Linked DNA regions of Rattus norvegicus. The protein of the gene in region 1 purifies or fractionates together with the protein of each later gene. This does not show direct contact. Links are inferred from orthologs where the notes say so. Each region holds a gene or a part of one and is shown on either strand. Other genes may lie near its edges. The genes, in order: Erbb3 and Grb2.

Region 1 (4,363 bases):
TAACTGTTACATAGCAGGTCCAGGAAAGGCCAAGGGTGGATAGGCACACCCACGCAATAGCAAGTTTAAAGAATCGTTGCAAGAGGGCAAGGGATGGGGCACGTGGAGAGATGGTTCAGTGTTTGGGAGCACTTGTTCTTCCAAAGAACTAGGGTTTCTTACCCAGACCCACATGACAGCTCACAACAATTTGTAACTCCAGTTACCAGGGATTCAACCAACAACTTCTGGCCACCACAGATACCTAAATGTGTTTGCAGAGAAAGTCTGGTAACTTGAATTCCATCTCCCAACCCGTGTAAAAATGGAAAGAGATAATCAAGTGCCCCTAAAGTCGTCTTCCGGCTTCCGTACACATATCGTAGCAGAAACAAGTACGAACGATCATGCATACAGGAATAATAACAAATTAAAAAAAATTGTAGCAGGAGAGTGGGGACATGGCGCACTTGGGAGGTGGAAGCAGAAAGATCGACCATTCAGAGTTCAACACCAGTGTCAGTCACATAATATACTCGAGGCCAGCCTGAGCTCTATGAGCTATATGAGACCTTGTTTCAAAACCAAAAAAAAAAAATAAACAAAAGAAAAGAAAAGATTGTAGTCCATAGTCTTCGCCCAGGGGGAGGGGACAATAAATTCTCAAAATCTTGGAATGCCAATGTAAGGGTTGCGAAATGCAAGGGGTTGGGCACCAGGGGGCGCCAGTCGGACCCGTCCGGGACCCAGCAACCCTGGGTCCCGTGGGCCATGTGCGGTGACTTCTCCGCTCCCCTCCTCACTGTCGTCTCCCAGTGTGAGCGTTGCTGTGCCCTTTTGGGTCCGCGGAGGAGAGGCGGGAACCGCGGCCGCCCGGACGGCGCGGTCGGTCCCTCGGAGACAGCTGTTCTCTCGGGCGGCCGTGGGGGGCAGCAGAGGGGACGGCGACAGGTGCGGGAGCCCCTCCCCGGGCTGAAGTGGGAAGGCGGACTCCCCGGTCTGTTCCCAGGCTGGAAACCGCCCCCGCCCCCCAGGCAAATCCCCCCAGAGGCCGAGCCGGCGCCGGGTCTGCCGGAGGAAGCGGCCGGAGACAGTGCAATTTCACGCGGTCTCCGGGGCTCGGGTTCCCGAGCTGGGTACATGAGTTACGGGGCTTTGCGTCCCGGGGAAACTGAGGTGGCATGAACGCTAGGCTAAAAAACAACCTCCCACTCGAAAAAACTGAAATACTCACACTACGAAAGAAGGAAAAAAAAAATCCCTCAAGTGATCCAACCGGCTAGGGGAGTTGAGTGATTTGGTTAATGGGCGAGGCCAGCTTTCTGGGGGCTGGGCTTCGGAGCGCTCTCCTTACCCGCAGTCACTACCTTTCCCCGGCCTGGGGTCGTTTGGAATCTTGATCTCCTCTGAACCATCTCCGGAGGGAATTGCTGGAGTAAGACCCCTCCTTGACCCTCTTGGCCAGGCTGCGGGCTGGCGGAGCACCTTTGGGCGGGTGTCCCGGGCTACAACCATCAGGACTTCAGCCTCGCACGGGAGGGGGCGCGGCCGTGACTCACCCCCTTCCCCCTTCGCTCCGTCCCTCCCTCCCAGACAGACACCCTCCCCTGCCGCCCCGCTCCGGACTCTGACTCCGGCTCCAGTTGCAGTTTGCAACCTCCGCTGCGGCCGCAGCTACCTATTCGCTGGCTGTTCAGGTGGCTTTCGCTTCGATGTCCTCCTAATCTTGGGGCCCCCGGGCCAGACTCGGCAGGGCTCCCTTCACCATCCGCTGGAATCATGAGGGCGACTGGGACTCTGCAGGTGCTGTGCTTCCTTCTCAGCCTGGCCCGGGGTTCCGAGATGGGCAACTCTCAGGCAGGTAAGCCGCGCGGGAGCCCCAGAAGTCTGGAAGCTGGGAGCGTGTGACCTGAACGCTCGCAGACCCTGGGCAAGGAGTTCGGGCACTGACTCTTTGAACTGGGGAGTGTGTGTGGGGGGGGGGTGCGACACCGGGTCTGCTCGCACCACCAAGGAGGGGGCCGTGTGCCTCGGTTCTTGGAGTGGAGCTTTCTGGGGGCTGGGACTGCATTCCTGGATGCCTACCCTTCTTCCCAGGGCGTCGCTGACCCTCTAATTGGTCTTATTCTGATTTGGTTAATGAAGAACAGTAGATTCACACTTGAGAGCCTTGGGAGGAGGGCGGGCAGGGACCCTTCTGTAAACGTAAGGAGCCTTGACTTGAAGGGTCTCAGTTTGTTCTCAGGTTCCCTGGCCCCCACCCCATCCCAGGTTTCAACAACCCCCCAGTTTCGTTGTTTTGCTGACAGGGCGGGGCTATGCAAGGGTTGGAAGTTGTTGTTTTCTAATGTTGGAAAAACAAGAGTGGCACCTCCTCTTCCGTGAGTGGGGCTGTCCTGAGAAGGCTGAGATTAACCTGAGGGCCAAGTCCAGGTGACATCAGTGAGAGGTCTCACAGAGCTGGCTGCCTGCTTTCCCATAAGATAAGCCGGTCCCCCAACTTAACCAACGTCTCTTTATCAAGACCCAGGTCAATTCAGTTAACATGTTGGGCATCTATTACACACTACACTATTTCCAGGGTATTATACCCTATTCTGGGGCTGTGGGGAAAAAGACAATCAGACCTATTTCTCTCTCCAATCTGAGGTCACTTCTCCCACCTTCTGAACATTCTATTCTGTGAACTGGCTCCCAGACCCAACTTGTGCCCTCCCCCCATTCGGTGCCATATGAGCCCTTTCCTACGGGTGTCTCTGGGACTACAGACACCTGAAGAACACCGGAGTTGGTATAATTAGAGTCCTGTTGATCTTGCTCCCCCCACCCCACCCCAAGATCTCTGCTTGGGGGTTGGCACAGTCAGTGCCCCTTCCGCAGAGTGGGAGTGGGAGAAACCACCTGTGCTTCCCCCACAGTTGCTGGGCCTAAATTTAGCCCCTGGGATCTTGAGATGTGAACACTCCCAGCTGGTGGAGGGGGTGGTCTGGGACTGGGGGGAGGGCCAGGGGAGTGACTGGAACACAGTTCCATCTGACTGCCCCCACCAACCAGAACCCAAGAGTCCGGGACTCCCACCACCCTCCTCAAGAGGCAGGGAGCAGGCATGCTTGCTTGTCTACCCTTTATCTTCCTCCTGAGCCTCTGGGCATCCGGCCCTGTCTCAAGCCTTGTATAGCCCCTTTGTCCCCTTGTGTATGTGGCAATAGAGGGGAGGCATCTGAGGGGCTGGAGGCTCTTGGTCTGTGCAGTCAATACTCTCTACAGAGAAAGGCTCCGACTTTGATCCTTTGCTCCTCTGTGAGCGTTGTCCACCCTACCCCCACCCGGTATTTTTCACTGCTTCCTTGCCGTGATCCCCAGGTTGCTTGGTCCCTCCTGGGTGGTTGTTTATGCTCCCGTCCTGTCCGCCTGCGCCCTTTGCCCCTGTTTGTGGGATCTGGACTTTACCCTCAGGGTGGCAGGTAACTGAGCCCTGTAGGGCTTTGCAAAGCACAAGACACAAAGTGTGCAAGGCATTGTGGGCAGGCAGGATGGACTGGCCCCTTGTAATGCTTCTGAGTATGGGTTCCAGGGCAAACACTATCTATTTCTGTGCCAGGGTAACTGTGTACATGTTTGTGTGTCAGTCGTACATGTGTGACACTACGCACGCACGCACAGGTACACATCACTTCCCTGTGCAGATATCCTAGCTCCTCCCCTATCTGAGAAGGGTTGGCACCTTAACTTGGAAGAGGGGTGTCCTGCCAGGAAGGGGACAGGGGTGGGGCTGTTCCAGAAATGACTAACCTTCCTAGTCTTTTATTTCAGCCCAAGGACCCTGGAGTTCCCAGGTTCCTCTGGGAGCTTCTAGCTTCTTGCTGGAACTGGCCCACTCTTTCCATCATGGAGAGAGGATAGGGAAGATGATCTAGAAGGGGTCAAACTAGACATGTACCTAACAAGAGAAACTGGGCTTTCTGACTCTCTCTCTCTCTCTCTCTCTCTCTCTCTCTCTCTCTCTCTCTCTCTCTCTCTCTCCCTGCCCCGCCTCAGGGAAGGGTGGTTAGAACAGGTGGTGTACCCCTTACCCCCACCCTCCTCTCCATGTGCTTTTACTGCACCACAGGAAAGAGCTCCAGGGAAGACAGTGAAAGCCCAAGAACTGAAATGGCCTCTCCTCTGGGCTCTCTCCTGGAGTGCCTACTGGGGAACACTGCCATGTTAGCAGTCTCTTTAAAGAATCCTTCTGACGATGAAATTGGCTTTGGAGTGGAGGCTTTGTTCTGTCTCTCTCTGGGCTTCTCTGTTTGGTGAAAAGCACTCAGGGCTGCACAGTGGTGCCCAGGGAGCTGGAGCATGTTGGCTTAGGGGAGGGAATGAGAAGGGAGACCGGAGTTTG
Region 2 (3,807 bases), on another chromosome or scaffold:
GGTCGGACCCTTCCTGGCTCTCAGCAAGTAAGCAGGCAGGAAGCTCGGCATGGTCAGCTGGGTTATTTGAGGCTGGCTGAAGGGCAGTCGGTGGGCTCCATTCCCACTTTGAGCTCTACAGAAGGAAGTTGAACACTCAGGAGCCTTTCTCCAGGTCACACTGCTGTGAAGGCCACCTCTTCTGATTGTTTCTGCACTTCCCACTCTGGATCTGCCACACGGTCTAATAATGCACACGGTGCTTAGTGTGGTGCCTCCAGGCAACGAGGCCAGCCCTCCCCCACCTCCTTTGTTTGGAGAGGAAGAGGACAGTTATACACTGACCGTCAGCCACCTAGCGATGCACTTGGGTCCAATGAAACCAGCCACAGTGGCTGTGCTGTAGTGCGCGTCGTGCGTGCCCGGCAGATGACACACAGGTTTCATAGTAAGTGACCTGCAGTTTAGCACCCAGCACCACATAAAACCAGGCATGGTGGGACACAGCTGTGCATGATAGCCATAATGAAATAATGATTTGTCACTGATAGGCAGACGGTCTGGTACTGTTGGGGTTATCATGTGCATATGAAAGGATTTCAGATCCATGAGGTAAGGTAGGACAGTCTCACTGTGTAGCTCTGGCTGTCCTGAAACTATGTAGACGAGGCTGACTTCGAACCACAGAGCCTTTGTCTGCCTCCTGGGTGCTGGGAATAAAGGGACACCACAACCACAACCTAGAGTCTACTTCCTCACAGTCCAGCTTCCCTCTGTGCTGTCGCAGACTCCACACCTCCAAGTCAGATGTCAGCCAGCCAGCCCTGCACTCCTGTTATGATGAAATGGCTTCCAAGGGCCTGTCTTCCCCTCTGCCCTTATCCTGGGTATCTGGGCTTCCCTAGGTACCACCTGATGAGTGAGGGAGAGGCAGGGCAGCTTTGGCCTTGGGCACTGGCTTTCAGACTGCATGTTAGGAGTGGTCTCCTTGTAGCCTGAAGAGTGGCCCTTGTTGCTGCCTTGAATCATGATCTGTAGAGTGGAGTGGGTGAAGCTGTTTGAAAGCTCTGTCACTCAGGAAGGCCCTGAGCCAAACAGTAGCCCCAGAGCCTTAGGCAAGAGGCCAGCAGGTAATGCTCTGCCCTGCTCTGCCCTCCCTCCTTCTCTCCGACAGAAGTGTCCCCATGTACATGCCAGGTTGTGCATCCCACCCAGTTCTCTGTGGGGAGGCAGATGTTGACTGGCTTGCCTTCCTTCCTTAGGTGGTTTTTTGGCAAAATCCCCAGAGCAAAGGCAGAAGAAATGCTTAGCAAACAGCGGCATGACGGGGCCTTCCTGATCCGAGAGAGCGAGAGCGCTCCTGGGGATTTCTCCCTGTCAGTCAAGTAAGTATTTCCTGCTGGAGCTGCCAGAGAAGCTGCAGCCATTGACTGGATTGTAAGGCTGCTGGGAAGATGTTAACCTGTCTTTTCCTGTGGACATCCTAGTGTTTGCTCTAACCTAGTTGTAGCAGATCCGAGCTTTAGGTTTGCAGTGTCATGAACCTATGGGAACTGACAGCACCCAGGGCCAGTTTAATCTGCACCACTTCTCATCCCGCCTGCCTTCACTGCTCACCTGGACCCGACACTTGGTTTCCATGAGCCTAGTGGGTGTCCTCTCAAAAATCCAAACAGGAGTTGGCCTCTAAGCTAGCACGTGAGAAGCAAAGACAGCTGGATCTCTGTGACTTCCAAGCCAGCCAGAGTTAGACATCTGACCGATCCTCCCCTTCTAGTTACTGTGTCACTGCAGAAGCCTACCCCAAAACTCTTCAGTCACAGACTCTTCTCTGCACCCCAGGCTGTCCAGGAACTTGCTGGGTAGCAGAAACTCGTCAAATGGATGGCAGTTCGCCTGTCTCAGTCTCCTGAGTACTGGGCTTACAGGCATGGCCAGCTGTTCCCTCCTCCTCATTATTAATCTGTAACGAGGTGAGGGAGCCCAGTGTCTTTGACTCCGAGCCAGGGAAGAGGAGGACAGACTGTCAGGAGTCTGCTTGCTTTCTCTGCTGTCTTGTGGGGTCTGAGGTTTAAACCCCACCTTGTCGGGTCTGAGCAGAAGGCCTCACTGAGTCACCCCACTAGTCCTGGCTTTTTTTGTCTTTTAAATACACCAACCAGGGTCTCAATGTAGAGCTCACTGTAGTACATTGAAGGCCCTGGCTTCTATCACTAGCACCACGATTAATGAGTGAAGGAGTGCACTCCTTCAGACCAGCCTTGAACTCCGAGTCCTGTGCCTTCACTTCCCTGTCATGGAAAGGAATGACAGGCCTTAAGCTCTGGGCACCAGAACCAAGCTGTGTTCTGTGTCTGAATGCAGAGGTGAGAGCTTTGGGTGAGCTTTGATACCTCAGAAGGTTTGCATACTTTTCTGTTTTGCTTTGTAAGACAGGATTTTTCTCTGTGTAGTCCTGGCTGTCCTGGAACTTTTATCTATAGACCAGGCTTGCCTCAAACTTTTTTTTTTCAACTGAGTATGATAACAGTTTCTTCTTATAACTAGGTTTGGGGTTTTTTTTTTTTTACATTTTTGATTAAACACATGTAAGTAAGGGTCATACAGAGTCTTGGTTTGTAGAATTAGCATTTTTAGACTTCTCAGTAGCTTGTATGTCTTTCCTTTGCCTGAACTGCTCCAAGTAGCAGTAAAACAGCTCAGGAAGGGGAGACAATGATTAGACAGTCGGGAGTGGCCAGGCCCCTGGGCAGTGCTGGGCTGGAGACCGGCCTGTGTTCAGCACCACCACCTCTACCCGAGCACCTGCAGGAAGGCCAGCTATGCCGTCCATGAAAGACAGCCTTGCAGGGATGGAGACCCAGGGCAGAGATAGAAATGCCTGATTAGCACAGTGAGTCCTAGGTTCCATCTCTAGCACAAGCACTGCCAACAACTGAGTGTAGTCTCAGCACTTAGGAGCTTGAAGCAGGAGGATTATACATTCTGGGTCATCCTTGGCTACATAGTGAGCTCAAAATCAGCCTGAGCTAACTGAGACCCTGGCTGATGACATGGCTCAGTGGGTAAAGGCACTTGTTATCTAGCCAGGTGACCTGTGTTTTGAGTCTCAGGAGTCCCTCTGACCGTGCCTGTGCCTACCACACATGCATATCTAGAAAATGTGGTTTTTAAAGTTAAACAGAAAACATTTAAAGATGTTAGTAAGCCATCACTTTAGGAATAAAATGTCCGGGGTGGATGACTCAGTTGGTAACTACCACGCAGACAAGAGGACCTGAGTGAGGATCCACAGTGCAGAAGTTATAGAGAGAGGAGATCCCTGGAGCTGCGGCCGGCCAGCCTAGTGTAATCAGTGAGCTCCAGGTCCAGTGAGAGACATACTGCAGACATCCAGCATTGACGTTAGGTTTCCACATACATGCACATGCATTCATACCCATACCCACACACGCACACAAGGATAGCATGAACTACCTACTGCCTTTAGTGAAGCACCTACACAGGTCCTTCGATCAGCACCAGACTTAACTAAGCTAGTACACTGGTTTCCAGGTCTGCAGAGCCTGGCGGGAAGGTCGTGGTAGGAGTGACCCTGCACTCCGGAAGCAGGTGCATCACAAAAGGCCCTTGGGCCTTTGGAGCCAGACAGGAAGGACCTTTGGATTCTGAGCCACAGTCCTTTTGAAACCACCTCCATTGCTTCTCAGTGGAGACATGAGGAAGTGGACAGCCACTTCAGGCTTGCTTTCCTCCATCAGTTACCACAGGCCAGCTGGAAATTCCAGCAATAACTCCTGGACTGTAGATAACTTTTATGATGGCATA

Evidence for each region.
Region 2: the proteins of Erbb3 (region 1) and Grb2 purify together in Homo sapiens (affinity purification with mass spectrometry; 3 studies listed by BioGRID and IntAct, with this or other methods). This does not show direct contact. The link is inferred for Rattus norvegicus from reciprocal best matches to the Homo sapiens genes ERBB3 and GRB2.

What each region holds. Positions count from the first base shown.
Region 1 is NC_086025.1:1,597,309-1,601,671, reverse strand, and holds the start of Erbb3 (receptor tyrosine-protein kinase erbB-3), read left to right. Parts: upstream 1-1,292; 5' UTR 1,293-1,414; intron 1,415-1,572; 5' UTR 1,573-1,758; coding exon 1,759-1,840; intron 1,841-3,999; exon of another isoform or gene 4,000-4,363. UniProt on the Homo sapiens protein: Tyrosine-protein kinase that plays an essential role as cell surface receptor for neuregulins.
Region 2 is NC_086028.1:101,385,519-101,389,325, reverse strand, and holds part of Grb2 (growth factor receptor-bound protein 2), read left to right. Parts: intron 1-1,241; coding exon 1,242-1,364; intron 1,365-3,807. UniProt on the Homo sapiens protein: Non-enzymatic adapter protein that plays a pivotal role in precisely regulated signaling cascades from cell surface receptors to cellular responses, including signaling transduction and gene expression.